Linked DNA regions of Anolis sagrei. The main gene of each other region encodes a partner of the protein of the gene in region 4 in a complex. Links are inferred from orthologs where the notes say so. Each region holds a gene or a part of one and is shown on either strand. Other genes may lie near its edges.

Region 1 (7,767 bases), on a different chromosome or scaffold from region 4:
TCAATAGAAACAAGTGGGAGATAAAGGTGGAATAGATAAGAATAAGAACACTATGAAAACAATATTTGATATATATTCGGAAATGGTGATGAATTGTGATATCATTCTACCTGTGTCTGCAATAAAAACATCTATTTAAAAAAGAGATAAACTTAATAAAGCAATAACATTGTTTTGCCTTGTATTCAGACAAGATGGAGGTGCTGTGATGAGTGGTTCCCATACCTATACTCAGGGGTGTGTGCCTGCATTCACTGAAATTGTTTGAATCCCCACTGAGCTCAGTAATTAGGAGCTTCAGATAATTCAACCTGATCATGGTGGTTCAGAAACTGGTAACCGCAAATCAGATTACTGCAATGCCTCCTATGTAAGTCAACCATTCAAAATGCTTCAGACGTTGCAGCTGGTGCAGAATGCAGCTGCTCACTGACTGACAAGAAAGGGTGATCAACTGGACACAAGGGATGCACTCAAGGATTCATACTGGTTGCTAATGTGCAACTTGGTCAAATTCAAGAGTTTGATGTTTTTGTTTAAGTCATAAGAAAACAACTTGGAACCAAAATACTTAAAGGACTTAATTTCAATGGATATTTTGTGAAGTTCTGTTTGGGAACTCTACAAAAGCAGCTCTTGAGGATCGTTAATGGAGTTCTTCATACAATTATTCATCTACTGAAGAAAGCTTATACGGTATATCTCCAGTTGCATTGTGAGTGATGTCCCAAAAAGTTTCCCATCCAGGTATGGATCATATTGAGCCTATCTAGTTTCAGAGACTAGGGCCCCTTCCACACAGCTGTATAAAATCTACATTGAACTGGATTATATGGCAGTGTGGGCTCAGATAACCCAGTTCAAAGCAGATATTGTGGATTATCTGCCTTTATATTCGGGGTTATATGGCTGTGTGAAAGGGACCTAGATATCCCTTTGAACCAGAAAGCCCATCAAATCTTATTGCAAGCAAAAAAGAAAATACAGCTCACCATTGCAATGTATTTGCTATCATGAATTTGTAAAACACAACAAAAGCTTGTAAGATAGTAACATAATGCCAACCTGCAGATCTAAACAAGGTTTCACACACCAGCATCTCCCCAGGTCCCCACGAAAAGCATAACTGTTTCTTGTCTGAGTTTACTCCAGGAATCAGCTGTTTTTCAAAGAAAATGAGAGGATAGCACAGGGAAACATAGTGACATAGGATATTTACATACAAAAATATACTTTTCAAAAGTACTGGAAATACATACATGGTGGAAACAAAATCAGAAAAGAGGGAAGTACTGTGGTGGCACAGCGGGTTAAACAACTGAGTGGCTGAACTTGCTGACCGAAAGGTTGCAGGTTCGAATCTGGGGAGTGGGGTAAGCTCCCACTGTAAGCCCCAGCTTCTTCATGATGATGGTGGTTGTTGTTGTTGAAGGAGGAAGCCTCCTGGAAGGCTAATGGCTCCAATAGTTTCCCACTACTGTAGATGCAGACATTTACAAGGCTAGCTGGCACAAGCACACACAGGTCTGAATTAAACTAACTTAATTTATGAAGGGAAACATTTATATCCCTTATTGTAAACTGTTTCTATATGTTGTACACCGCCGTGAGTCGCCCTAGGGCTGAGAACGGCGGTCAACAAATGCAGTAAATAAATAAATAAATAAATAATATCCCAACATAAAATTATTTTCCTGTCATTCACTATCTGCCTTGGGGTATGGTGGAAGCTCCTTTTTGGTGGCTATTTGTCAGGGATATTTTGATTGTGCTTTTCCTACATGGGAGGGGGTGGACTAGATGGCCCATGCGGTCTCTTCCAACTCTATCTTTCTATGATTATATTAAACTGTGTCCATCATAGTACTGATGTTGTTTGACAGCACTATAACTGCTCTGGCTCAATGCCAGGGAGTCCTGGGAGTTGTAGCTTTACAAGGCCTCCAGCCTTCTCTGCCAAAGAGGACTGGTGCATCAGCAAACTACAATTCCCAGGATCCCACAGCATTGAGCCTTGGCAGTCAAAGTGGTGTCAAACTGCCTGAACTCTACAGTGTAGATGCATCCATTATTTCTTCTGTTGTTACTGTGAAAGGGCCCCTTGGTGGCACAGCAGGTTAAGCCACTGAGCAGCTGAACTTGCTGACCAAAAGGTTGGCGTTTCAAATCCAGGGAGCGGGGTGAGCTCCCACGTTTAAGCCCAGCTTCTGCCAACCTAGCAGTCTGAAAACATGCAAATATTAGTAGATCAATAGGTACTGCTTCGACAGGAAGGTAATGGCGCTTCATGCAGTCATGCTGACCTTGGAGGCATCTATGGACAACGCCTGCTCTTTGGTTTAGAAATGGAGATGAGCACGACTAGGCTTTATGTCAGGGGAAAACTTTTACCTTTACCTTACCATGAAATTTCCAATGCATCATAATTGCCTGCCACATTTCATGAGTGCTTACTTGCTTGTTGTGTGAGTGATCCTTTGATTCCTTTTCCCAATTGTCAGGGTTTAGAAGGATATTCCAAAGTTGGGAGTACCTTGGTTTTGTCCTCATTTCATCCCTTGAGTCAGCATGAAACATTCCTATCAATTCATTGTTACTTCAACTATTAGTATTATTATTGTTATCATCATTTTCAGCCCAGAAGTTTCCTTAAAAACTCTGTCTCAAAGGGGATCTATACCACAGAATTTAATGCAGTTTGACATGACTTCAACTGCCATGGCTCAGTGCTATGGCAACCCTGGGATTTGTAGTTTGGGGAGGCCCCAGCACTGTTCGGCAGAGGCGGCTAAAGACCCTAAGAAAAGACACTTCCCAGGATTCCACAGCAGTGACACGCCCGTTAAAGTGGTGTCCCACTGCATGCACTTATCCCGCAGGCCCCGCTCCGCACCGTGACCGTGGGCTCCTCGTCCACCTCCTCCATCGCTCTCCTTCCCGGCCGCCTGCCTTCGCGCTTCTCCGCCGCTCAAGCCTTCCTCCCTCTCGCGAGGAGGCTTGGAAAGCAGCCAGCCAATCGCCGTCCTTCTCGGTCAGCCGCGCGCACATTGACGTAAGGACGTTCTCCGCCGCGCAAGCGCATTCTTCCCTCTCCCCGTTCCTGCCCAGAGAGGTAGGAAAAAATATAGACCTATTCACACTATTCCTTTGATATTCCCCTTCTTTCTTCCTCGGGAAGGTGTGACCGTATAGATATGGACCCTTTCTTTCCCCGCCGTTGAGGCTGTCTTCCAAATTGCCTGTTAGAATTATACTTCTCAGATTCTTGAAACGAAGTTCCCAAGGCTAATTTTCTCCTCATACCGTGAAAAACAGGAGAAGGGGAACCGGCACGGTCCCTTCTAAAATAGCTTCGGTTCGATACATGCAGTTCCTTAGAATCAGGCACTCGGCTAGTCGACAAAATAAAAGGACCCCCACCTTTTATTCAGAAAGCTGCATGTAATGCTCATTTCAAGATCGGTCCATCTGTATCTCTAGAGCAGTGGTTCTCAACCTGTAGGTCCCCAGGTGTTTTGGCCTGCAACTCCCAGAAATCCCAGTCAATTTATCACCTGTTAGGATTTCAGGGAGTTGAAGGCCAAAACACCTGGGGACCCACAGGTTGAGAACCACTGGACTAGAGGGTCCCCAGGCAGCAACCAGCCAAGCTTTGAAGCTGCAAGGCCATTAAATTATCATTGTTCTTGCAGCCACTGAATTCTACGCATGCCATGAGTTGCCAAAAAGCCGATTACATGGGCAAATCAAGTCTGAACTCTCTCCAGAAGTCAAGACGGCTGAACACACTGAATATCGTAAAGGCAGCAGATTCTGTCTGATGTTTACTTACTTTCCTGATTTCAGAGTTTTTTTAATACTGGTGGCCAGATCTTGTTCATTTTCGTGGCTATTATCCACATGCTTGTGGATTTCAGTGGCTGCAAGGCCATTAAATTATCATTTCATGGCCTTGCAGCTTCAAAGCTTGGCTGGTTGCTGCCTGGGGGATCCTTTGTTGGGAGGTATTAGCTGGCCCTGATTCATTCTTGCCTGAAATTCCCCTGGTTTTTTTTTTTTTTTTAGTGTTGCTTTTTATTTATTGTCCTGATCCATGTCATACTACACAGAGCAACACTAAAAACAAACAAACAAACAAAAACGGGAATTCCGGGCAAGAATGAATCAGGGCCAGCTAATACCTCCCAAGATAGGATCCCCCAGGCAGCAACCAGCTAAGCTTTGAAGCTGCAGGGCCATTAAATAATTAAGGTGGCCAATTGCAGCATTCACACTGGCCTCAAACAGACAAGAGTTCTTTCTCCCACCCTGGACACTCCACAGATATATAAACCTCACTTGCCTAATTTCCAATAGACGTCATAGCCGCTGAGGATGCCTGCCATAGACGTGGGCAAAATTTCAGAAGGGAATGCTTCTGGAACATGGGCATACAGCCCGGAAAACTCACAGCAACCCAGTGATTCTGACCATTAAAGCCTTTGACAACACAAAGTAAATATAATAAGTATCTGAAGTTTTTTTGGATTTAAAAGGCAAAATCTTCATAAGGCAAAATCTCACAGGAAGAGGATTTTGCTACAGGCGGTTGCTAATAAAACTCCTCCGGTCTGCATGATCAGAGTCCAGTTGCCTCCCTCATTAGAAACCATATCCTAAATTATTTTTTCTGTTTTTGTAGTAACTTAAAACTTAAGTCAACCATTCAGAAATACCGTAGATTTTAAAGCATTAAAGGAAAAGATAATGCAAACTCAGTAAATTCACTGATGGGTGTATAAATATTGTCGTTATTGTTAACTCAGTACATTTAAGAATTCTAGGTGTTCTAGATTTACCTACTAGAATTTTTGGAAAGGAAGGAACATTTTATTGAGGCTGAAACATTTGGAGGAACAATGCCCTCATCCTCCATCTCATAGCTGTGTCAGTTTATCACACTACAGAGTTAAAATTAAATAAAGAGGTGGAATATTTCAACTACCGTATTTTCTGGTGTATAAGACTCCTTTTAAATCCAAAAAAACTTCTCAAAAAGTCAGGGGTCATCTTATACACCGGGAGTCATCTTATAGAGCGGGTGCTGAAACTTCCAATCCAGATTGGAGAATCTGTGGTTGCCGCATATGGGGGGGGGGGGGGGGCTCAAAAATGGCAGTAGCTGCGTCCCTGTCTTATGCAGCGACTGTATGAACGCATTAAGGGCGACGCTGTACAAGTACAGTAGAAGAAAATACATTCATCAGGATTCGTGGACTTAATGTGGTCCCAATGGTGAGGTGAAGGGGCACCTCACCGGGAAGATGTAAGTGAAGGGCAGAGCAAGCTGCAGGCGTCCAGGGTGCCCGGGGTATGGAAAAAAGTGATAGAGTGGCTCTGGGCCCAGAAAAACACAACTCTTTTACCTGTCTGGCTCGCCCTTGTATCCTATTATCGTACCAGTCCTCTGCCTCTCAGATCTCGCTCCTGAAGACTGCAGTGAAGTGCGCATGTGCAAGATCTGAGAGGCAGAGAAGGAGATACAGTAATAGGAAAATTACCATATTGAAATTGAATCTGATTTTTAAATTTTTATTTGGTGTGCATTGGAAGACAGGTAGTCTTATACAGTGAGTATATCCCAAACTCTATATTTTAACTGGAAAAGTTGGGGGTCGTCTTATATGCCCAGTCGTCTTATATGTTGGAAAATACGATACATCATAAAATGTGTCCTGTCAGGTGATGCAATTATTTCGGGGTGTGTTTGGCTGCCCCTAAGCCTCCCATGCATAACACAAACATCAATAGGGAATCCTCCTTTTACTGGATTTTAACACACTAGTTACCAAGAGAGAGAGAGAGAGAGAGAGAGAGATTCAACCATTGTATGAAAGCAATGCAAGAAAAGTGACAACTTTAAATGCCTTTTGTCTTCATTAATAGAAGATAGTTTCTTGCATTAGATTGAATAAGATTGTCCTACTTCAGTGCTGATGAGACACAATTCTTATAGCTAATCAAATGCCTACACAGCATTAGAGGAAAGAGAACACGTTGTGGGCACATCAACACTGCAGAAATAATGCAGTTTGTCACCACTTTAACTGCCATGGCTCAGTGTTATAGAATAATCAGAATTGTAGTTTTACAAGGTCTTTAGCCTTCTCTGTAAACTGCCCTGAGTCCCTTCAGGGAGAGAGGGCAGGTTATAAATATATTATTATTATTATTATTATTATTATTAATAATAATATTATTATTATGCCAAAGAGTGCTGGGGATCTCACCCAACTACAACTTCCATTGTTCTATAGCTTTCAGTCTTGGCAGTGAAAGTGATGTCAAACTACATTATTTTTACAGTATGTGCACCCTGTGAAATAAGGCTCATAGAGGCTGGCAAATCAGAAGTTCCATATCCCTGCTTTACAATAAAGTTAATTATAATGTACTTCTTTTCAACATGCTAGAACTTCAGCCATTCATCAATGCTGATTAGCAGTAGGTGGAGGTCTGAGAGTTAATTCATATATAATTAGCTTATGAGCCTGTGATATTAGTTTAGACAGCTTTCTAACAGGATTGCTTGTAATCTCCCTAAGATATTTCATACATGGTTGATGAAAGTCATAAGATTAATTTAATGCACTGTGGTCTTGGTGAACAATGCAGTACATCACTGCACTTTAAGTTCACTTTAACTGCTTGTTGATAAAATAATTCAGGTAGAGATTGGTGTATTTATAGGCCCCATTTTGATCAAGTGTCTCCTACTTCCTGGAATTCTGGTCTCTGAGTCATAATCTGAATTAGTCAAGACATTTGTCATTGGAAAAATCAGACATAGTCCATTAATAATTTGACACGTTTCCCTAGATGTTTAAAACAATTAAATTATACACCTTTACACTTCACAATCTTGTCTAGTTTTCTCACAGTTGCCCTTCTCACACCCAGGGTGCGTCTACTCTGTAGAATTAATGCAGTTTGACCCCACTTTGCCATGGCTCAATACTGTAGAATCAATCTTGGGAGCTGAAGCTTGGTGGTGTCACTGAACTAGAGCAATTTAGAATGGCTGCGAATAGTGAGATAGCTGATAGCAAAACCTGAAATGTGGATAACTGAAATGTGGAGTCCTAATAAGTGGATACTGGTACCTGCTGCAGGTTGCCCTGTTAGTCTGTGTGCCTGGCAAGTGAAGCTCAACGTTCCTGAAGAAAGCTCACCAAGTTGAAGAAGCCACTGAGGTATTTTATTCAATCAGCTGAAAGTGATGCCAACTTGTGGTTATCTGCCAAAGTAAGCTGAGACACCATTACGGTGAACAGCAGACTTTTTTATACAATACAGTGTTTTGAAATTCCTGCACCTGCCCCAGATGGGCCAGCACCACCATAATTGACTGAGCTCTGATGACACCAGGGAGGATTCCCTGCAGAGGTTGGACTGTGGCATCCACTGGCCAATGGAAGAGTATTCCCTGCTTCCAATGCAGCTGGAGCACTCTCCAATTGTTGGCAGGGGAAACTCCAAAAAAGGAAGATATAGTTTTATGATTGGATTACCTTGTCCCAACATCAGGGACAAACAATGTGGGCGCTTGGGTCCCATGAGTTTTATTGTCTTGGTGATTGTTTTTATGAACCCCGACCTCACGGGCTGATGACTCTGCACCAGTGTCCTTTATATTTCCAAACAGCAAATATTGTTCATGATAATAGGATTATGAACCCATTCCTGAGAAAGGGGCGATGTCATTGTGGAAAACAGGGCATGATTCTC
Region 2 (7,583 bases), on a different chromosome or scaffold from region 4:
ATGTTCACACCCTAGAGCCATTCAAAAATCATGATATCCTGCCAAATTTTCTGTTGCCCTCGCAAACGTAACATAGTTATGGGATTCAATTCCTATTACAGCCAGAATTCTCTTATGTGAAAGGGCTACGAGATAGCTATAGCCCAGAGGTTACACAAATTAAGTCACTAAAGAGGATGTTATGTTAAAATCATACAGGTACATTGTTATCTGAGTATATGAAAATGATGAAAAGGCATGGTTTTAGAGGCAATACTTTCCTGCTGCATAACAAAGCTTCCAAGGCCATTGTGATACAATGAGGTAGCACAGATGAAGTGACAACTGATATCTAGATTCAAAGAATCGAACAGCAAGGATCTAAGCTCATCTGGAAATCCATTGATAAAGCAGATAAAAGGCTGACCCTGAACTAAATACATCCTCTTGAAGAAAGTCCAAAGTATAGATAGAAAAGAGACGTAAGGGTCCAGGTTCTTAAAAAATATAATTTGAGTGTATAATTTAGGGTGTCCAGCCTCCCAAATCTAATCTCATCTGCTATAGCAAGGGAGATGTGAGAATTAACGATAAAGACAGAATTAAAGGTTTAATAGAACTAAACTGGTATAACGCCAGGGCTGGCATCCATATGCCCAACTGATGCAAGAAATGATGGTTGTCATGAAGTAACAGCAAAGTGTTAGTTATTTGCTTTGTTATTTAGGGGTTTTTTAACATCTGAAGATGGGCAAAAGTGTTTCTGGTATTTTCTGTGTCATGTGTCAAAACAATTCAGCTAGTTTTGGGCATTTGCAGCTACTATTTAGGCAACAAAATACTTTGGGTCAGTTGTGTTGATGAATTACTGGGGGGGGGGTAGAAAAAGATATTTTTAACTCTGTATATTGATCACTTTGTTCTACAGTCTCAACAAATCTGCCTTTTGGTATGGAAAAGCAACCACTGGGGGTACATCTACACTGTAGAATTTATGTAGTTTGACACCACTTGCTATGGCATAATGGGAGTTGTAGTTTGGTGAGGCGCCAACACTATTTGGTGGAGAAGGCAAAAGGCCCTGTAAAACTACAGCTCCCAGTATTCCATATCATTCAGTTACAGTTGTTAAAGTGGTGTTAAGGGTGTATTAATTCTACAGTGTAGGTTCACCTTGTGTCTCACTATGAGAAACAGCAACACAAAAGGTGTAATACAGACCAAAGCTAGATTGCTGATTCAGATTGTAAATTTCAGCAGTGTTCCAGGGCAGAAGCAATGGAGATAACTTTTTAAAAACCCATAAATAAATATATTGCCTTTAAAATTAATTAATAAAGCAAAGAGTTTAGAAAGGTTAGTTTTTTGAACAATAATCCTCAGGAATCTTTTACCTAGCACGAACATGTTGGCTAGTTGATACAGGGAATTTTAGCTCTCCAAAATCTAAGTTCTTGAAAAGTGTTGTTCTGCTAAAGTAGGGGTAGGAATCACAAATTGCAACTTTTAGCATTCCTCTCATATTTCAGAATGCTAAGTTAAATATATTGGGATCCCACCTATGCTGTCATATAATGCAATTTCAAACTGAGAGTTGTAATCCAACAGCATCTAGGACTCTATTTGATTTCCATTCCTGTATGAGAGAAAGGAGACAATAAAAAGGGAAATCAAAGCTTTTGGGGAAAGCAAAGTCTTTGAGGGAAAGAGGAAAGTGTTTGTTTTTATTGTTGGATTGAGAAAGATAAGCAACAAAAGCAACTCACTAAGTGTTGTTCTTGCTCTTTCTGGACTCTGTCCTCAATCCCGTGATAAATAATAAGCAGAAATGACTCTCACAATGTTGCATAGGACTATACAAAGAGAAACATTTTCTTGAAATTTAAAACAAAGCATTGAGTGCTCATGGGATAATAAAACATGTCTTCACAAGCACTTTCTGTACTAATATTCTCATACATTACTTTAATGTAACGTTGTCTCGCTCTCCATAGGGCGAAAAATGTGAGAACAGAACAATATGTAAGACTATATTTAGGTCTGTGACTCCATCACCTTTCATATTTTAACACATTTGCCTGATTAAAACGTGAACAGAGATTTGAAAGTTTGCATCATTGGTTTTATGCATTTTGGTTGGTCAATAAAGATATTATTCTTTTGTGGATACTTCCAAAATAAGACAGACTCAATTTAGTCATTATTTATTCTATTGAGAGTTCAGACTTGATTTTCTCTAAATCCCATTAATTTGGGTTTGTTGGGGTTTTTTTTTAGTAGTCTGTGGTATCCCTATAACTCTTCTCCAGCACATTGAAATGAATAGGTTTTCTTAACATATGAACTTATGGGGAAAATAAACAAACGATGTGCCAAGGATCTTAAAGTGACTGATGCCCTCTAGAGACAGAGCCAAGGTAAATCAGCAACTGGAATTCCTGAAAACATAAAGCATACTGACCTCTATTTTGTTTTTTAAAAAGCAAGAACAGGAGACAGGAGGAGAGCCAGTGTGGTATACAGTAGTAGTTTAAGTGTTCAACTACAACTTTGAGACCAGAGTTCAAATTCCTGCTCAGCCATATCTCAATGATATAAACTCATGAGAATTGTAACTTTACAAGGGCATTTGCCTTCCTTGCCAAATAGTGCTGGTACCTCCCCAAATTATAAATCTCATTATTCCATAGCATTGAGCCATGGCAGTTAATGTAGTGCAATATGAACAAATCAGTAAAATGACACATCAGTGTCCAAGGAAACACCAGACCTCTTATCACTGACCTTAACACAACTGCTGTGGGGAAAAAGAAACAAAAAAGAAAGATTTGAATGAAAGGGAGAGTGAAGGGAAATAGCTGCATTATAATTCATTATAATGCAGTCTATAATTCAATATTATGACATGTGTTATCTACTGCCAAGGCATTTGTATTATAAATAAAAGTTGCATGGACATGTTAATAAGGTAAATACCAGTCAGTACTTTCTCATTTGATTTCTCTTTGATCACAATGGCTACAATCCTATCCTATACATGTGCATAATACTCTTATAGTCAGCCCTCCATATCCATAGATTCTGCATGCATGGATTCTACCATCCACAGCTTGAAAATATATATTACAAATCCAAAAAAGCAAAATATTGATTTTGTTTTTAATGCGAGTGGCACCATTTTCTACACAATTGTATATAATGAGACTGAGCATCCATCTTTATTTATTAATGTTCATGTATAATTGTTATTTGTTATCCTGTATTTTATGATGTGGCATTGAATTATTGCCAATTGTAAGCTGCCCTGAGTCCCCCCAGGGATTGAGAAGGGTGGGGTAAAAATGTTCTAAATAAATAAATAAACAAATAAAAATGCGCTCAAATTTCTGAATGACACTGTATGTAGCATGGGTGATAGTCATGAAAACTTATGCTATGTGCAAAGAAGCTGTTAGGAAAATGTGATAATGCTCTCAAATCAACCAGAAAAGGAAGAAACAAAACCTCTCCCATGGGCCAGGATCCTCTTCCTTTGAAGAATACTGAACCTGGCAGATATTATGATGCTACAGCACCTTCCAATGTGTTATTTCTTGTAACAAGAGCTCCAGGCATCCATGCATATGGAGGTTATATTCCTTACATACAGCACACTGCTCACACAATGCTTTTTGGTGACTTGAGGGCTTTTTTGTGACACACAGTGTAAGAAAGTGAGTCCACATCCATGGCACCACAATATCTTCTTTGGAAGAAAGAATAATAAAGTAAATCTGAACTTGAGTTACAGTTATTTACAGAAGATGAACATTTGATTGGTAAAATATATAAGCTGTTATTAACACAAACTTTAATTTAAAATATTGTATAACATTACCTTTGGTTTATATGTATAAGGATAATACAAAAATGTCTTCAGGGTTCTGATTAGAAATACATTTATATATATCCTTAATGTGTTGTCGAAGGCTTTCATGGCTGGAATCACTGGGTTGCTGTGAGTTTTTCGGCCTGTATGGCCATGTTCCAAAAGCATTATCTCCTGACGTTTTGCCCACATCTATGGCAGGCATCCTCAGAGGTGAGATGGGAGAAAGAAACTAGGCAAGTGAGGTTTATATATGGGAGAAAGAACTCCTGTCTGCTTGAAGCAAGTGTGAATGTTGCAATTGATAATCTTGATTAGCATTTAATGGTCTTGCAGCTTCAAAGCTAATTGCTGCAAGGCCATTCAATCAATGCTAATCAAGGTGGCCAATTGCAACATTCACGCTTGCCTCCAGCAGACAATGTCTCCCACCCTGGGCATTATTCCACAGATATATAAACCTCACTTGCCTAGTTTCCAACAGACCATTCAACCTGTGAGGATTGATGTTTATATTTGGAAAATCATTGGTTCCGGCTGGACATCATCCCTTTTGAAATCAACGCGCACGCAACGACCGTTAGGCCGGACGTAACTGAGAGCCAATCATCCCGCCGTTGCCCTGGCAACGCCGCCTGTCCTTTCCGTAAGCAGCGTAAGGGCACGAGTCGCGCAGACAGCCACGCCCCCTCCCGCCCCATGATGCACAGCGGAGGCGCACTCCCTCCGGCCACGCCCTCTTCCTGCTCCTGCCTCCCGTGAGGCCCCGCGGCGCCGCGCGCGGGAAGGGAAGATGGCGGCGTCAGTGGCCGAGGGCCTCGGGGAGCGTGGCTACCTGGAGCTGGGCGGGACCTCAAGGAGGCCGCGACGCCGAGCCCGGGAGCTCGCCTTCAGCCTCCCAGGTGGGTGCTCTTTCCGGGCCAGGTGGGCCACCCTCCTATTCGAGCAGCGGTATCAGCCAGGCTGGAACAGTAGCTCAGGCCTGCAAAACCGAAGGCCGTCAATCCAAAAATGACCTCAGGGTTGCTCCACCACGTACATACTCCTATGTTCCTATGTTGTAGTACGTTACCGAATGAAATTTGTACAGGTTGAGTATCCCTGTATGCGAAATGCTTGGGGCTAGAGTAGGCATGGGCAAACTGAGGCTCTATTGGTGTTTTGGACTTCAATTCCCAGCAGCCTCAGGCCCCTCCCTTTCCCCCCTCAGCCGCTTAAGCGGCAGAGGGGGAAAAGGAAGGGACCTGAGGCTGCTGGGAATGGTGGGAATTGAAGTCCAAAACACCTATAGGGCCTCAGTTTGCCCATTTCTGGGCTAGAGCTACCCTGGATTTATTGGAGAAAATATACATACTTGTATTTGAATATATGTACCTAATGAGATATATAAATGGGCATCCAAATCTAAGCAGACAATTTATGTTTTGTAATGAGGTACCTTTAGATGGGACCCAAGCCTAAGCATGAAATTTGATTATACTTTGTATACATTTTATACTAGGCATGGGCAAATTTCAGCCCTGCCTCCAGGTGTTTTGGACTTCCAACTCCCGCAATTCCTAACAGCCAGTATAAAGATATTTTTAACGTACTTTTTAATGGTTTGTGCATGGAACGCAATTTGTGTATGTTGTACTATCAGAAGGCAAAGGTGTCTCTATGTCAGCCATCCAGTGTGGGCAATTTTGGAGCATATCAGAGTTCTGAATAAGGAATGTGCAACTTGTATTCACATAAGTACTAAAAGAACTGTGTATGCCTTCTTTGTTAAGGTTTTTGTATTTGTCACCCAAAATACTTTAAAAACTGTTACAAGCATTCAATTCACCATGAAAAAAGAATATGAAGGAAAGCTGCCATTTCTAGATGTCCTAGTTATCCGCAAACCCAATCAACAATTGAGCCACAGTTTACAGAAAACCTACACACATGGATAGATACCTACATAAAAACTACAACCATCACCCAAGTAAAAAAAGAAGCACAGTTAAAGCCCTGGCAGACTGTGCAAACAGAATCTGCGAATTCCTCCTCCAAGGGGAACTGGACCACCTAAACCGGGCTCTACAGGCCAATGGAAAAACATTTTTTTGTTGCCAGCAGGTGTAATGGTATTCTTTTATGTGGTGCATGGTGGCTGACCAGCCTCCCTTGTTTGCCCATTGCAGGTGGTGGTTTGTCCTCTACAGCCGCGCGGTATGCAGACAGCGCTGGTGGATACTGGTACCAGCAGAATGCGCAGCTGGGATCGGTAACCAGAAACCGCTTCATTCATTGGTGAGTGGGCCAAAGAAGTGCTTTTTGTCTGGCTGAACAGTTATTCTGTTCTTGTCACAAATATCTACCCCTTAGTTTGCTTTGAAAGGGGCCCTAGATTAAGAATTCTGTTTTTGGGGGGAGGGAGCAACCATATTAGGTTGAGGAAGCAATACTTATAGAATACTTTTCAAACTACCAAACTTACTATAACTTGTGATACAGATTCAGTCCACTTCCTCAGAGGAATGGAGTATTATCTTTGAGTTCCTTTCTAGAGAAAGAAATAAACAGACTTCCACAAAGTACATGATAAGCTGGAATACTGATTGAAGTCAGAGTAGAATTAAATACACAAAGTATAGTAAGGATTTTGTTATTAATACCATGAACTATGAATGGAAGTGTTGGTGATAACAAACATTCTAGTAGTGTCTGCTTCATTTGTTTCTTTCCAGTGGGCCCTTTTTGTCTGTTCCTGGTAACCTTTGTGTTTAGAGAGATGTCAACATTGATTATTTTTTTTTGCAACTAAGATTGGAGGAATGTTTTCTAGATCTTTGTCCAAAGGTGCTGTGTAAATAAAGCTGATTTTGTAAAGCTTTGATCAGGGGCCCCCAAACTAAGGCCCTCCAAGGTCATTTACCTGGCCCTCGCCCAGGGTCAACCTAACTCTGAAACGACTTGAAAGCACACAACAGCAGCTATTTAATCAACCAAAAACAGGCCCACACTTCCCATTGAAATACTAATAAGGTTATATTTGTTAAAATTGTTCTTCATTTTAATTATTGAATTGTTTTAAAGTGTTTTTTGCACTACAAATAATAATTGTGCAGTGTGCATAGGAAGTCATTCATGTTTTTTTCAAATTATAATTCGGCCCTCCAACAGTTTGAGGGACTGTGACCTGGCCCTCTGTTTAAAAAGTTTGAGGACCCCTGGCTTAGATGCTCCTTTTTTTGCATTGGCCAGTTCCTCACTAGGTAAAAATATACATCCAGGGAAGGAGTCTCAGGTGAGATGTGTATTTAAATCAGTGATGCGTAATTTGAATGTCCAGTGACAGCAACTGTATATGGTATTGAAATGGACATTGAAGTCAGAGTTAAAGCATTGATTTCTAGTGGCTTCCATAACAGTGTGATGCGGGTTTTGCTAAAGGTTTTAGTTTGAATTTTACAGGAACTGTCCCAGATGCTGAACTATAGGCCCACAAATGATTTCAGCACCTTGGATAACTCCTATAGAGTTTGCATATAAACCAGATTGGAGTTCTTGTTTCACTAACATGACTAGAATTGAATAAATGCGACTTACCTAAACATTAACAACTGATTTAATTGATTATAGTACTCTGTTGGGACTAACCAGCCGTATAGCAAAGAATTTCAGAGCCAACAAACAAGATAGGTTCTAGACATTTGTTCTTAAGTTGAATTTGTATGTAAGTCAGAACTACTACATTTTTTAAGTGAAA
Region 3 (7,666 bases), on a different chromosome or scaffold from region 4:
TAAATGAAAATTAATTGCCTTCAGTTCATGGTAATCTATAGCTTTGTCTTTATCTGTGTCAAAGAGCTCAAAAGCATCTTTGATCTCTTGCTTCTGTTCTTCAGTCAAGTCTCTTCTTTTCTTTCTCTTATTTTTTTCAACAGAAAACTCCGCTCTGCAACAAGAAGAAAAACAATTTGCACAATATTTTATAGAGAGCACGATGTAATGCCATTACTATCAATACCGGCTGTTAGGAATTTTGTTAGTTGAAGTCCAAAATCCCTGGAGGGCCCAAGTTTGCCCATGCGTGCACTGGAGAATTGGGGACCCCAAGTAGAAGAAAAGACTACAGGGAGAAGGGGAAGACATCTATTTAAAACGAGCTGTCCTCTGCCATGCGTTGGTGTGGCCCAGTCTGTGTATATGTGTGTGTATATATTTCGGTATTTGCTTTTTGTGGACTTGCTGTTGCAGGTATTTTTTAAAAAATGAATTTAAAATATTTACATTACAATGGGCCTCAGAAAGGGAGGCTGGTGTGTGGCCCCTTGTGTCCTGTCACTTGTTTTTGCCCATTTTGTTGATGGCTCGGGCTGCGAGCGGACATGCTTTGTTCACCTCCTCATTCCGGGTTGGGATGCAGCCCGTTGGAGGCCCCGATGCCACCCCAATAACATCCAATAATGTATAAACCTCACAATTAATATAGCATCCCTACTTTACGGATTTTCACTTACTGCGGGTGGTCCTGGAACGTAACCCCCACAATAAGTGAGGGAACACTGTATGTGGTTTTGCACATGCGTTATAATGTATTTTTATTTTTTTGGCTTTTTAAGTCTCTTGCATTGTGTTTTTCAGTGTTTTGATGAGTGATGGTCACCTGTTGGTTTACACAATAGGTGTATTGTGTCCAATTTTGGTGTCAGTTTGTCCAGTGGTTTTTGAGTTATGTTAATCCCACAGGCTGGTGATCTGGAAAATGAAGTAATGAGAAAGTGCTGGTTTCTAATATATGTAATGTCTTGTGGGTAAACAGTATTTCTTGCTGTGTCTTTGTCCATGTTGATGTCGAGATTGTCTGGGTTGCCTACCCTAGAACATGCAACATGGAATTGTCCTTCTTTAGGGGTCTCTTTCAAATCTATGATACTGTATCTGTGTGTGTGTGAAATCATCTATGGCTTTGTGGCTCTTTGTCAGGAGCGCTTTATTACATTTTCTTGCCCTGGTAAAGGGAGTTGGACTGGATGGCCTTAAGTATTTTCTGTTGGTCACGGGAGTTCTGTGTGCCACGTTTGGTTCAATTCCATCATTGATGGAGTTCACAATGCTCTTTGATTGTAGGTGAAATATAAATCCCAGTAAATGCAACTCCCAAATGTCAAAGTCTACTTTTTAACCCAAACTCCATCTGTGTACATATTTGAGCATATGGAATATTTGTGCCAAGTTTGGTCCTGATCCACCATTGTTTGAGTCCACAGTGCTCTCTGGATGTAGGAGAACTGCAACTTCCAAACTCAAGATCAATGCCCATCAATGTCCATGTTGGTCATGGGAGTCCTGTGTGCCACGTTTGGTTCAATTCCATCATTGGTGGAGTTCAGAATGCTCTTTGATTGTAGGTAAACTATAAATCCCAGCAACTACAACTCCCAAATGACAAAATCAATTTTTTAGAGTGATAGTCACTCCTTGGGTTAGTAGGTGTCTTGTAGCCAAATTGTGGCCAGTGGTTTTTGAGTTATGTTAATCCCACAAATGAACATTACATTTTAATTTATATATAGACTAGCTGTCCGCTGCCATGTGTTGCTGTGGCCCACATGGGGGTTCTGTGTGAGAGGTCTGGCCCAATTCTATTGTTGGTGGGATTCAGAATGCTCTTTGATTGTAGGTGAACTATAAATCCCAGCTACGACAACTCCCGAATGTCAAGATTCTCTCCCCCCCCCCCCCCAACTCTATCAGTGTTCACATTTGGGCATATTGAGTATTTGTGTAGAATTGGTCCAGATCCATCATTGTTTGAGTCCACAGTGATCTCTGGATGTAGGTGAACTACAACTCCAAAACCAAAGAACACTGCCCACCAACCCTTCCAGTATTTTCTGTTGGTCATGGGAGTTCTGTATGCCAAGTCTGGTTCAATTGTATCGTTGGTGGGGTTCCGAATGCGCTTTGATTGTAGGTGAACTATAAATCCCAGCAACTACAACTCCCAAATGACAAAATCATTTTTTTTTTAGTGAAGGACATACACTGGGTTGTTAGGTGTCTTTTGCCCAAATTTGGTGTCAATTCGTCCAGTGGTTTTTGAGTTCTGTTAATTCCACAAACAAACATTATATTTCAATTTATATATAGATGAAAGAAAGAGAAAAAAAACAATTTCCTTCTACTCCGTTTCCTAGAAATCCTGTGGGTCTGTCTGCGTGTGTTCACAATGGAATACAACGCCAGCAAAAACCTCAACCCATGATTGAACCAAGGCAAGGGCCAAAAGGGCGAAACAGGCAGGGACTGGGTGTTCTTAAGCGCCTTAGAGGAAAAGAGAGAGAGGCGGGGGCGGCGCGTGAGCCTTTCGCCAGGTGGCAGCTGAGGGACACGGAGCGCGCGCCCGCCTGAGGCGCCTCGCGAGGCAAAAAGGGAGGGGGCGGAGAACAAGCGCCGTTGAGTTTCCATGGCAACAAGAAGCGGGCGAGCACTCGCTCCCTCCCTCCCTTCCCGGTTCCCTCGCGCTGTAAACCAACCTTGACACTAAATTCATTCTCCTCGCCTCGGCCTGCTCCTTCTACCGGACACCGGGTGGGCTGCCGAGTCGGAGGAACGCCGGCGACTTTGGACCACCACCGGAAAACACGCGTCTTCCCTTTCAAAAGCCGGACGCCTAAGCTAAACGGCTTCTCGGTCAACAATGCGGCGTCCCTCTTCAGAGCTCAGTCGCGATTGGGCGCTGAGGAGCGTCCCTCCCGCCTCTTCTTGTATCGCAACGCTTCGATAGGCGAAGTCCCTTGTCAATCGGATTTCCCTCCCCGCCTTCCTCGCGAGGTTGCCAGAAGGCATGGGACGTCACAGAGAAGCGAAGGGAGGGGAGAAATGGTACGGCGCGGGTTGATGACGTCAAGAGAACGTGAACTCGCCCAATCTGCTCGGTTGGCGCGAAGAACGAATTTTGGGACTTTTAGGAATGGATGTGTTATTAACTTCCTTGTCGACTTATAGAGACCAAGTTAATTTCATTGGGTTTTCTTGGAGAATGAATACTCTTGAATCTTAGGCCTCTTTCACACAGCTAAATAAAATCCCACATTATCTGCTTTGAACTGGAATATATTTATTTATTGTATTTATTTACGACATTTATATGCCGCCCTTCTCACCCCCAAGGGGACTCAGAGCGGCCTACAACATATATATGTATGTATATATATACACACACACAATATGATATATTGTGTGTGTGTGTGTATATATATATATATATATCTTGTGTGTGTATATATATATATATATCTTGTATAGTACAATATCAGTATTATATATTACTATATTGTACTATACCATTATATTGTTCCACCTTGTCTCCTGTGCTATTCTAATAATATAATTTATTTATTTATTTCAGGCATTTCTACCCCACCCTTCTCACCCCCTAGGGAGAACTTGCATTACATTATAATATTATAAATATTATATGTATATACAATAATATATTGTATATACTTATAATATTTATAATATTATAATGTAATGCAATGTAACACTAATAATAATATATTATAATTATATATTTATATTACATGTAATATTACTAATAATATTACAATATGATATAGTACAATATAGTAATTTATTTATTTGTCGTGTCAGAGCAACCAGTCCATTATATTACATTTCTAACAGAACAAAGCAAACAAACAGACAAATACAAAACTTGTGAGTTTGGTAGTTGGTTAAATGTCCTTTGACCAGCATCTGGCCACTTGGAGTGCTTCTGGTGTTACTGCAAGAAGGTCCTCCATGGTGCATGTGGCAGGGCTCAGGTTGCATTGCAGCAGGTGGTCAGTGGTTTGCTCTTCTCCACACTCGCATGTTGAGGATTCCACTTTGTAGCCCCATTTCTGAAGGTTGGCTCTGCATCTCGTGGTGCCAGAGCACAGTCTGTTCAGTGCCTTCCAAGTCGCCCAGTCTTCTGTGTGCCCAGGATATAGTAATATTTAATACTGATATTGTACTATGCTAATAATTATATTATAATATATTGTATGTCTTGTAAGCCGCTGTGTGTCCCCTTCGGGGTGAGAAAGGTGGCATTTAAATGTCGTAAATAAATAATAATTATACCATTATATTGTAATATTACTAGTAATATTACATATAATATAAAATATATAATTATAATGTCATATTATTATTAGTAGTATTATATTGCATTATATTATAAATACTAAATGCATATACAATATATTATGTTAAATTATATTATTAGCATAGCACAGGAGACAAGATGGAACTTGTGTGGCATATATGTCATTGTGGACTCAGGTAACCCAGTTCAAAGCAGATATTGTGGGGTTTTCCACCTTGATATTCTGGGTTAAATGGCTGTGTGGAAGGGCCTTTAGAAAGCAAAAGCTAAACGTCTGCCAGGATCTATAGAGGTAGAGAGTGGTAACACATGAGACAAGGCTGTTTCACGTCTCGCGAGATCCGAGGGCACTCGGGAACCGAAATCTCGCGGCAAACCCGGAAGAGCAGCGCTCATGCGCAGTATGGGGCGTCAGGGCTGAGAGCGCGCTCTTTAGTCCTGCTTAGCGTTTGGTATGTATGTAGTGGCTCAGTTAGCTGGACGCCACGCTTTGGGGATTTGCTCAGGCCAGAGGTGGATCTGAACTGCCAAATTGATTCATTTTGAGTCCACTTTAACTGCCCGTGGCACAATGCTATGGGGTGGTGGGAGTTCTAGTTTTACAAGGCGTTTTGGCCTTCTCAATAGTGCTGGTGCCTCATCAGCTGTGGTAATTCAAGTGGGCTCAATTTGCATTGATTCTGCAATAGGCATAGGCAAACTTGGGCCCTCCAGGTGTTTTGGACGTCAACTCCCACTATTCCTAACAGCCTCAGGACCCTTCCTTTTGCCCCTCAGCCCCTAAGCGCCTGAGGGGCAAAAGGAAAGGGCCTGAGGCTGTTAGGAATGGTGGGAGTTGAAGTTCAAAACACCTGGAGGGCCAAAGTTTGCCCATGCCTGTTCTAGATTCTCCCACAATGCTCACATTTTAGTGCCCCAAACGTTAGCCCTGTTTCTGGGTATTTTTGAGCTGCTGATTCCAAAAATAACACCAGTTTCCCCTTCTCAGTTCTAGTTTTTTAGATGCAGAACATATGCCATCTACCAGTCTTCATCACCCATAGAAAATCAATGATATCTAAGAAACTAGAGCTGATGTAGTGTATCCAATTCAATTTTCTAAATCAGCGTCCCATATAACCCAGGAACAGACCTAAAAACGAAGACACCAATATTATTTACTAGAGTCTAATGTGCCATAAAATCTAATGCGCATCTTAATTTTCAAAACCTTGAAACCCAAAAAAAGCATTTACCATGTTACGCAAATCTAATATGTACCCCAATTTTGGGAAGGTAATTTAGTCAAAAAAGGTGAGCATTAGAATCAAGTAAATACAGTATTATTATTTTGAGCTGTATAATGATATTGATTTTATTGATTCTGTTATGGTTTTTATTATTCAACTGTTTTATTATATTGAAATGGCATTTTATGGTCTTGGTACCGACTGTGAACCTCCCCGAGTCGCCTGCAGGCTGAGAGGGACGGTATATAAATATAGTAAATAAATAAATAATGTGTTTACTGTTTGGGTTAAAGTTGTAATAGCAGTGTAACTGGACAATGTAAAGGGGGACATTCTTTTTCTCTATCCAGCTTTCTTTCTTTCTTCAAATCCCAGAGTGTAGAGAGAGAGGGATTACATGATTTAAAGAACACATAGAAAAACAATAGGGAAAAATGAAAATTAAAAATGCAGTAACTGTGCTTTGTTTCTGTAGGTATGTGAACAACCAGTAGCTGCTGATGTTAATGTTTCTGTATCAGTGTAAAGTTTATATGTTGTAGTGTAAGGATGTATTCTTGTGAGTACTCTATGTATTTATTTTTCCTGATTGTATCTATGTTTCAAAGATGGCAGAAAAACTGATTAAGGTCTGTTTATACTGTTTCAGGGAACAGAGCCGTAATTCATGAACTCATGGTAAGCTCCATGCTTATCAGTACATGAAATCAGATAGAGCAGTTTGATTATAAAGAAGCAGAATGCAATGTTTTGTGTTATTTTTGTTTCAGCTATGCTTTGTAAATACACATTTGTTGTTGTGCACATTCAAGCCAATTCTAAATGTGGCAACCCTAAAGCAAACCTATGACAAAGTTTTCTTCGCCAGATTTGTTTAGAGGGAGGTTTGCTTAGTTTTTTGAGGCCGAGAGAATGTTACCTGACTAGTGTTACCCAATTGGTTTCCATGACCAAGCAACAATTTGAACCCTGGTCTCCAGCCACTGGATATAAAATTTGTGTGAACTTCATGTGAAACTAATGTCTTTTTTTATATGTTTCCCTCTCTGTCTACAGATTTAAATAGAAATTTCCTCTCTGGAATGGATGGGCTGTTTAGAACAAAGAATATGCTACTTCCTAGTTTGGCAGTTTGGTGTCAAAAACAGCAACAATGTTGCAGGTTTTATTGCAATCTTCAGACAAAACGAAAGCATGTATCCCAACATTTTAGGTCCATGAATTTGCGAGAGGAAAGCATGGAATCCAAGGAGAGCAAACCTGTGGAAATGACATGCAAAAGTCAGAGACTGATGTTACTAGCAGGCCTGATTTGTCCTGCCAGCCCTGGTTGCTACCATTACATGCCATATGCAGTCCGAGCAATGGAGAAGCTGATCAAGGTGATAGACCAAGAAATGCAGGCCATTGGTGGTCAAAAAATGAACATGCCCACATTGTGCTCAGCAAAGCTCTGGAGAGCCAGTGGGAGGTGGGAGCTGCTGGGCAAGGAACTTTTACGAATGAAAGACAGGCACGGCCAGGAATATTGTCTAGGACCTACCCATGAAGAGGCCATCACAGACCTCCTAGCTTCCCAAGGCTGCTTGTCCTACAAACAGCTTCCCCTCTTGTTATATCAGGTAACAAGAAAGTTTCGGGATGAGCCAAAGCCACGCTTTGGATTGCTGCGGGGTCGAGAATTTTATATGAAGGACATGTACACCTTTGATGCCTCCAAGGAAGCTGCCCTCCAAACCTATGAATGTGTGTGTGACGCTTACAGCAATATTTTCAACAAATTGGACCTTCAGTTTGTAAAGGTTCAAGCTGCTACAGGAAGCATTGGAGGAACAATGTCTCATGAGTTCCAACTCCCTGCTGAGATTGGTGAGGACCAACTGATGATGTGTGCAAACTGTGACTTTTCAGCCAATGTTGAAACAATGAACTCCAGGGAAATGGGTTGTCCTGTTTGCAAAGGAAAACTAATTGAAAGCAAAGGGATTGAAGTTGGCCATACCTTTTTCTTGGGCACCAAATACTCTTCTGTTTTTAATGCAACTGTCCACACTGCCCAAAATAAGCCTGTTCCAGCTGA
Region 4 (7,855 bases):
ATTGTATATAATATGCAGTATTAAATATAATAATACAACACAGTAATAATTTATATAATAATAAAAATTAATATATTTAATATAATATATGTTATAATTAATATAACAATCATATTATAATAATATAGTAATATGTATTATAATAATCATTAAAATTAAATAGTTAATATAATAATAAAATCTATATAAATAAAAATGTTATTATTATTATACTAATATTGTGCTATGCTAATAATATAATATATTGTATGAATATATATCTTGTAAGCCGCTCTGAGTCCCCTTCGAGGTGAGAAGGGCGGCATATAAATGGTGTAAATAAATAAATAAAATAAATAATATATATCATAATAATAAATATATTTATTATTATTATTACTATTATTAAACTTTATTTGTACCCCGCTAGCATCTCCCGAAGGACTTGATGTGGCTTACAAAGGCCAAGGCCTCAACACAACAACAGCAAAACAGTAACAATACAGTTTAAAGCAAATTAAAACATAAGCAATAACAAAACAATACATAAATTATGCAATAAAAACCAGGGCCGGGCCAGTGATGGGTATAGGTTAAAAAAGTGCTGGGTGTGGCAGGTGGTATTTTGGATTTCCGGGCAAGTGCAGAGTGCAGAGAGTCTTAAACTCTAATAAAGTGCTTCTGGGAGTAGTGCTGGAGATTATCCTATTCCGGAAAGGCACATCGGAATAGCCAGGTCTTCAAATTCTTCCTAAAGACTGCCAGCGTGGGTGCTAGTCTAATGTCTTTGGGGAGGGTGTTCCAGAGTCAGGGGGCCAGCACAGAGAAGGCCCTGTCCCTCATCCCCACCAAACGCGCCTGCGACGCAGGTGGGATCGCGAGCAGGGCCTCTCTGGATGAACGGAGGGAGCGCGTGGGTTCGTAGATGGAGATGCGGTCACGCAGGTAGGCAGGTCCCAAACCGTTTAGGGCTTTGTAGGTAAGCACCTGCACCTTGAATTGGGTTCGGTAGATAACCGGCAGCCAATGGAACTCCTTAAACAGGAGGGTTGACCTCTCTCTGTAAGGAGCGCCAGTTAACATCCTGGCTGCTGCCCGTTGGACCAGTTGGAACTTCTGAGCCGTTTTCAAGGGCAGCCCCACGTAGAGCGCATTACAGTAATCCAATCTAGAGGTGACCAAGGCATGGACCACCCCGGCCAGGTCAGCCTTCGCGAGGTACAGTCGCAGTTGGCGCACGAGTCTCAAATACAAATACAGTAAAGAATAAATAAATAAATAAATAAAGCTTGTATGAAAATATATCTTGTAAGCTGCTCTGAGTCCCCTTTGGGGTGAGAAGGGCAGCATATAAATGGTGTAAATAAATGATAAATAAATAGTATATATCATAATAATAAATATATATAATATAAATAATACAATATGCAGTATAACAATAAATATTAAATATGTATCATAACATAACAACGAATCATAATACATCGGCCATCTGTCAGGAGTGTTTGGATGGGTCTTTCTTGGGGGGTCTGTTTGGATGGCCTTTGGGGGCCCCTTCTCTTTCCTTTTCTCTACATTGGCAGTCTTCAGAAAGAACTTGAAGACCTGGCTGTTCCGATGTGCCTTTCCAGATTAGGAATCTCCAATACCAAGTCCTAGAAGCACTTTAGTAGAATTAAGATTGCTGCACACCGCACACTGCACTTACTTATAATCCTACATACCTCCTGCCACACCAGCACTTTTAATCTTGCACCTATCACTCTGGCCCGGCCCAGTTTTATCGTGTCTTTCGAAAGAAGGTTAAAACCTGGCTCTTTGAGCAAGCGTTTGGCTAATCAGTGCAATCGAACATAGGATGACGGTAAATTGAACATAGGAATGGCACAAGGATTATGAGACCGGATTTTGCTTTGTGATCGAGGCATTATGAATGATTAATTGTGTATTTGTTATTGTGTATGATGTGTTTTAACTGTTATTGTTGTGTTAATTTACATTGTGTAAACCGCATTGAGTCGCCTAATTAGGTTGAGAAACGCGGTATAGAAATAAAGCAAATAATAATAATAATATTGTTTTTATTGTTGTTGTTCATACTGCTTAACTGTTTTTGATTTGCTTTAGGTGTTGTATTGTGTTTTGAGGCCTTGGCCTATGTAAGCCGCATCGAGTCCTTCGGGAGATGCTAGCGGGGTACAAATAAAGTTATAATAATATTACTAAAATAGTTAATATAATAATAAAATCTATATAAATAAAATTATTATTATTATTATTATACTGATATTGTGCTATGGTAACTGTTTATTAATTGTGTAATGTGTTAGGTTGTTAACTGTTTCTATACTGTAGCACTGAATTTTTGCTGTTTGTATTTGCTGTGAACCGCTGTGAGTCGCCTTCGGGCTGAGAAGTAAGATTAATAAATAAATAAATAAAATGGTAATAATATAACATAATGTATGAAAATATATCTTGTAAGCTGCTCTGAGTCTCCTTCGAGATGAGAAGGGTGGCATATAAATAAGTAAATAATATATATCACAATAATAAATAAAATAAATAAATAATATATATATATATATATATATATATATATATATATCATAAGTATATTTAAAATAAATAATATATTATACAGTATAACAATAAATATATTAAATATGTATCATAACATAACAAGTAATCATAATACACCGGCCATCTGTCGGGAGTGTTTGGATGGGTCTTTCTTGGGGGGTCTGTTTGGATGGCCTTTGGGGGCCCCTTCCCTTCCCTCCCTCCCTCCCTGTGGGCCCGGCCTTTACCCGCTCGTGGGCCTGGAGGCGCCGGAGAAGGCAGGGCCCTCGCCCGGCTCTCCTCCCGCTCCTCCCGCGGCGGCCTCTCCTTCTCCTCCTCCTCCTCCTCTTCCGCGGGCCAAGAGTCTCCTCAGAAGCCGCGCCTCAGAAGCACCAGCAACGACGACAAGGAACGACGCCTCCTTCTCTTCTCCTCCTCACGCGAGAAGCGGTTGCGGGCTGCGTCAGGAGCACGCACGGCGACGCACGGGCCGTCCTACGTCACCGCCGCCTCCCATTGGCCCGTCGCAGTCTCCACCTCCCCGTGGAAAAGAGCGCCATTGGCCGGGCCTCAAGTTGAGACAGAATCCTCGCCCTTGATTGGACGCGCTGCCGACCAATCGGATTCCGTTTTCCTTACATCGCAAACGGGGATTGGAGAGGAAGGAGAGGAACTAAAAACAAGGAGAGGAAGAAGTGGCTTCCTGGAAGTGGGCGGGGCTAATATCTCCCCCGACTCATTGGGTTGGCCTGCGGGTATCCATGGCAACCTGCTTCAAGGAAAAAAGGCGCCTGGGAGCGGAGACTAGGCCGCGATTTCCCCTCAAGGCCCCGGTTGGGCCTAACGAGGCGGGCCGAGCGAGGAAGGGCCCCGCGGTCGGCGGCAGCGGTGAGTGGCGAAGCGCGGAGACCATTCGGTCATTGGTTAAATGTGAATGTTGCCACTGGCCACCTTGGTTAGCCTTGAATGGCCTTGCAGCATCAAAGCCTGGCAGCTTCCTGCCTGTTTATTAGCATTGAATGGCCTTGCAGCTTCAAAGCCTGGCAGTTTCCTGGCTGTTTATTAGCATTGAGTGGCCTTGTAGCTTCAAAGCCTGGCTGCTTCCTGCCTGTATCTGTGGAAGGTCCAGGGTGGGAGAAAGAACTCTTGTCTGCTGGAGGCAAGTGTGAATGTTTCCATTGGCCATTTCATTAGCCTCAAATGACCTTGCAGCTTCAAAGCCTGGCTGCTTCCTGCCTGTTTATATATCTGTAGAAGGGCCAGGGTGGGAGAAAGAACTCTTGCCTGTTGGAGGAAAGTGTGAATGTTTCCATTGGCCACATTGATCAGCGTTGAATGGCCTTGCAGCTTCAAAACCTGGCTACTTCCTGCCTGTTTATTAGTATTGAATGGCCTTGCAGCTTCAAAGCCTGGCTGCTTCCTGCCTGTTTATATATCTGTGGAAGGTCCAGTGTGGGAGAAAGGACTCTTGTCTGCTGGAGGGAAGTGTGAATGTTTCCATTGGCCACTTCGATTAGCATTGAATGGCCTTGCAGATTCAAAGCCTGGCTGCTTCCTGCCTGTTCATATATCTCTGGAAGTTCCAGGGTGGGAGAAAGAACTCTTGTCTGCAGGATGCAAGTTTGAATGTTTCCATGGGCCACCTTCATTAGTATTGAATGGCCTTGCAACTTCAAAGCCTGGCTGCTTCCTGCCTGATTATGTATTTGTGGAAGGTCCCGGGTGAGAGAAAGAACTCTTGTCTGTTGGAGGCAAGTGTGAATGTTTCCATTGGCCACCTTGATTAGCATTGAATGGCCTTGCGGCTTCAAAGCCTGGCTGCTTCCTGCCTTATTATATATTTGTGTGTGTGTGTGTGTGTGTGTGTGTGTATAGTAAGCTGCTCTGAGACCCCTTTGGTGTGAGAAGGTTGATATATATAATACTACTACTAATAATATTTATTATTATATAATAATAATAATATGATATTATAATTACATGTTTTATATTACATGTAATATTACTAATAATATGGTATAGTACAATATGGAAATATATAATACTGATATTGAAGTATGCTAATAGAATAATAGAATCCTAGAGTTGGAAGAGACGTGGTGGGCCATCATCCAGTCCAGCCCCATTCTGCCAAGAAGCAGGAATATTGCATTCAAAGCACCCCTGACAGATGGCCATCCAGCCCCTGTTTAAAAGCCTCCAAAGAAGGAGCCTCCACCACACTCCACTGCTGAACGGCTCTCACAGACAGGAAGTTCTTCCTCATGTTCAGATGGAATCTCCTTTCTTGTAGTTTAAAGCCATTGTTCCATTGCGTCCTAGTCTCCAGGGAAGCAGAAAACATCTCTCTCCTTCCCATGGATCAGAGCATGGCGGGTGAAACAGACTCCTCAGGTCTGCCACACTTTGAGCATTATTAGATTGAGTCTTTTATAGGAATGTTCTGCTGATGTCGTCCCAAAGTTGCAAAATAATGACCGTCGTCTTCCATCCTGGCTCCATCTCAGTTTCCCAGCAAGATGTTGATCTTCTTGATTGGTGTTGACAAACACAAGACTTGTGTTGACTTCCTTCTTAACATAAGGAATGTTGTAAACATTTCTCTTAACCTGAAATAATCATTGACACAGTCCTTATCACAGTTTACTTTTCAGTTCTCATTAGCAGGTTTTAATCATAGTCCAGCAAGTAGTTATGTTATGAACCCAAAGAGGTTCCTGTTCTTTTGTGCAGAGTGTTCAAGGAATAGAATCATAGAATCATAGAATAATCATTGTCACAGTCCTTATCATAGTTTACTTTTCAGTTCTCATTAGCAGGTTTTAATCACAGTCCAACAAGTAGTTATGTTATGAACCCAAAGAGGTTCCTGTTCTTTTGTTCAGTGTTCAAAGAATAGTAATGCAGTTTAGACCAATGAGACACTTCAGAGACCAAATTTGGTTTTGACCCTATTCATGTAACATTTATTGAAATACAATAATCACAGAATCATATCAGAATCACATCAAGGGAGAGCTCTCGTGCACACACACATTCATGCATACACACAGGTAAAGATGATCAGTCTTTTCCAAGGAGGTGCGGACGCTCCGTTGCCTTGGATCAGGAAGCGTGCATGTTCTTGGGGTCCGCTGCATTAAATAGGCCAAAATCCATTTTTCCTATTTTTAATAATCAAGCTGTTCCATCCCTTTTAAGTCCCGTACTTTTCAAGTTCAGGACATCCACGTGACTTATGGGGTACACCTGCACACTCCTTACACTCCTTACACGCTCGGCCGCACACCTTATTGTTCATTGTCATTCAGCTATGCCTTGCTGCTTCCTCGCTTCGACTGCCAAGTCCAACCCATAATATCATGCTTTGCACGGACACCATGTTGTAGTTTCTTCAGGCCGGTTCTTCTTCTACATGCATTCAAACATTCATTCCTTACAGTTAGTCATTGCAAACATTTCCTTAACTTGAAAGAACCATTGTCACAGTCCTTATCACGGTTTACTTTTCAGTTCTCATTAGCAACTTTTAATTACAATCCAGCAAGCAAATTTAGTCATTGCAGGCCTTAATATTATACTGGTGCTCCCAAAATTATTAACTCCATCCATACATTCTTCCATTTATTCCCACACATATATTAAATCCACATTGATCAAATCTGCAATGATATTTTCGTGACAACTTCAGCCCTCCCTCCAGTTGTTTTGGACTTTAGCTCCCACAATTCTTAACAACTGTTAAACAAGCTAGGATTTCTGGGAGCTGACGTCCAAAACATCTGGAGGAGCAATTGAGAAACTCTTCACTAAGGAAACCCATAGTTTAAGAAGCCGTGGGCCAGGGAGCAGGGGTTGAGGCTGCAGAGGGAAAATAATTGGCTGCTGCTGCCTGTTTGCTTTGGAGAGGGCTACATTAGGGTTACTTACTTAGGTGATCCCTCGTTGGCCGAGTAGGATAGTCTTCCAGGATCAGTATTCTGGTGGGTCCGTGGGTGGCTGTGAAGCCCTATTCTTGACCTGCATCTTCTCCCATAGTGAGGGCATCAGTTTCTAGGTGGAAGGCAGTCTTGGTCAGGGTTGGCGTGATGCACCTTCCTCTTGACACGTTTCTCTCTTTCGCCCTCCATTCGTGCCTCTTCAAATTCTACAGCACTGCTGGTCACAGCTGACCTCCAGCTGGAGCGCTCAAGAGCCAGGGCTTCCCAGTTCTCGGTGTCTATGCCATGGTATTCCCTGTAGTAACCTACGGATGTGAGAGCTGGACCTTAGGGAAGGCTGAGCGAAGGAAGATCGATGCTTTTGAGCTGTGGTGCTGGAGGAAAGTTCTGAGAGTGCCTTGGACTGCGAGAAGATCCAACCAGTCCATCCTCCAGGAAATAAAGCCCGACTGCTCACTGGAGGGAAAGATACTAGAGACAAAGTTGAAGTACTTTGGCCACATCATGAGGAGACAGGAAAGCCTGGAGAAGACAATGATGCTGGGGAAAGTGGAAGGCAAAAGGAAGAGGGGCCGACCAAGGGAAAGATGGATGGATGGCATCCTTGAAGTGACTGGACTGACCTTGAAGGAGCTGGGGGTGGTGACGGCCGACAGGGAGCTCTGGCGTGGGCTGGTCCAGGAGGTCACAAAGAGTCGGAGATGACTGAACGAATGAACAACAACAACAACAACTTGAGCCCATCTTTCAATCTCTTTTCCTGCCCACCAACATTCCATTTTCTGTTCTTGAGTTTGGAGTAGAGCAACTGCTTTGGGAGACGGTGGTTGGGTATTCGGACAACATGGCCGGTCCAGTGGAGTTGATAGTGGAGGAGCATTGCTTCAATGCTGGTGGTCTTTGCTTCTTCCAGCACGCTGACATTTGTCTGCCTGTCTTCCCAAGAGATTTGCAGGATTTTTCGGAAGTAGCACTGATGGAATCGTTCCAGGAGTTGCATGTGACGTCTGTAGACAGTCCACATCTCGCAGGCATATAGCAGGTTTGGGAGGACAATAGCTTTATAAACAAACCCCTTGGTCTCCCTACGGATGTTCCAGTCCTCAAACACTCTCTGCTTCATTCGGAAAAAATGCTGCACTCACAGAGCTCAGGTGTTGTTGTATTTCGGTGTCAATGTTGACGTCTGTAGATAGTCCACGTTTCACAGGTGTATAGCAGGTTTGGAAGGACAAAACAATCCCCTTGGTATCCCTATGGATATCCCAGTCCTCAAACACTCTCTGCTTCATTTGGAAAAATGCTGCACTCACAGAGCTCAGGTGGTGTTGTATTTCGGTGTCAATGTTGACGTCTGTAGATAGTCCACGTTT

The links.
Region 1: NUP98 (region 4) and NUP85 share a complex: the UniProt entries of both Homo sapiens proteins name them as parts of the nuclear pore complex. The link is inferred for Anolis sagrei from reciprocal best matches to the Homo sapiens genes NUP98 and NUP85.
Region 2: NUP98 (region 4) and NUP160 share a complex: the UniProt entries of both Homo sapiens proteins name them as parts of the nuclear pore complex. The link is inferred for Anolis sagrei from reciprocal best matches to the Homo sapiens genes NUP98 and NUP160.
Region 3: NUP98 (region 4) and CETN3 share a complex: the UniProt entries of both Homo sapiens proteins name them as parts of the nuclear pore complex. The link is inferred for Anolis sagrei from reciprocal best matches to the Homo sapiens genes NUP98 and CETN3.

The regions. Positions count from the first base shown.
Region 1 is NC_090022.1:117,259,632-117,267,398, reverse strand, and holds the start of NUP85 (nuclear pore complex protein Nup85), read right to left. Parts: upstream 3,022-7,767; 5' UTR 2,927-3,021; coding exon 2,894-2,926; intron 1,160-2,893; coding exon 1,066-1,159; intron 1-1,065. UniProt on the Homo sapiens protein: Essential component of the nuclear pore complex (NPC) that seems to be required for NPC assembly and maintenance. As part of the NPC Nup107-160 subcomplex plays a role in RNA export and in tethering NUP96/Nup98 and NUP153 to the nucleus.
Region 2 is NC_090021.1:231,925,701-231,933,283, reverse strand, and holds the start of NUP160 (nuclear pore complex protein Nup160), read left to right. Parts: upstream 1-4,583; 5' UTR 4,584-4,640; coding exon 4,641-4,749; intron 4,750-6,015; coding exon 6,016-6,124; intron 6,125-7,583. UniProt on the Homo sapiens protein: Functions as a component of the nuclear pore complex (NPC). Involved in poly(A)+ RNA transport.
Region 3 is NC_090024.1:171,867,594-171,875,259, forward strand, and holds the start of CETN3 (centrin-3), read right to left. Parts: upstream 3,021-7,666; 5' UTR 2,756-3,020; coding exon 2,739-2,755; intron 155-2,738; coding exon 19-154; intron 1-18. Other genes in the region: PARS2 (probable proline--tRNA ligase, mitochondrial), read left to right, coding at 6,669-7,666. UniProt on the Homo sapiens protein: Plays a fundamental role in microtubule-organizing center structure and function. As a component of the TREX-2 complex, involved in the export of mRNAs to the cytoplasm through the nuclear pores.
Region 4 is NC_090023.1:2,203,330-2,211,184, reverse strand, and holds the start of NUP98 (nuclear pore complex protein Nup98-Nup96), read right to left. Parts: upstream 3,003-7,855; 5' UTR 2,790-3,002; intron 1-2,789. UniProt on the Homo sapiens protein: Plays a role in the nuclear pore complex (NPC) assembly and/or maintenance. NUP98 and NUP96 are involved in the bidirectional transport across the NPC. May anchor NUP153 and TPR to the NPC.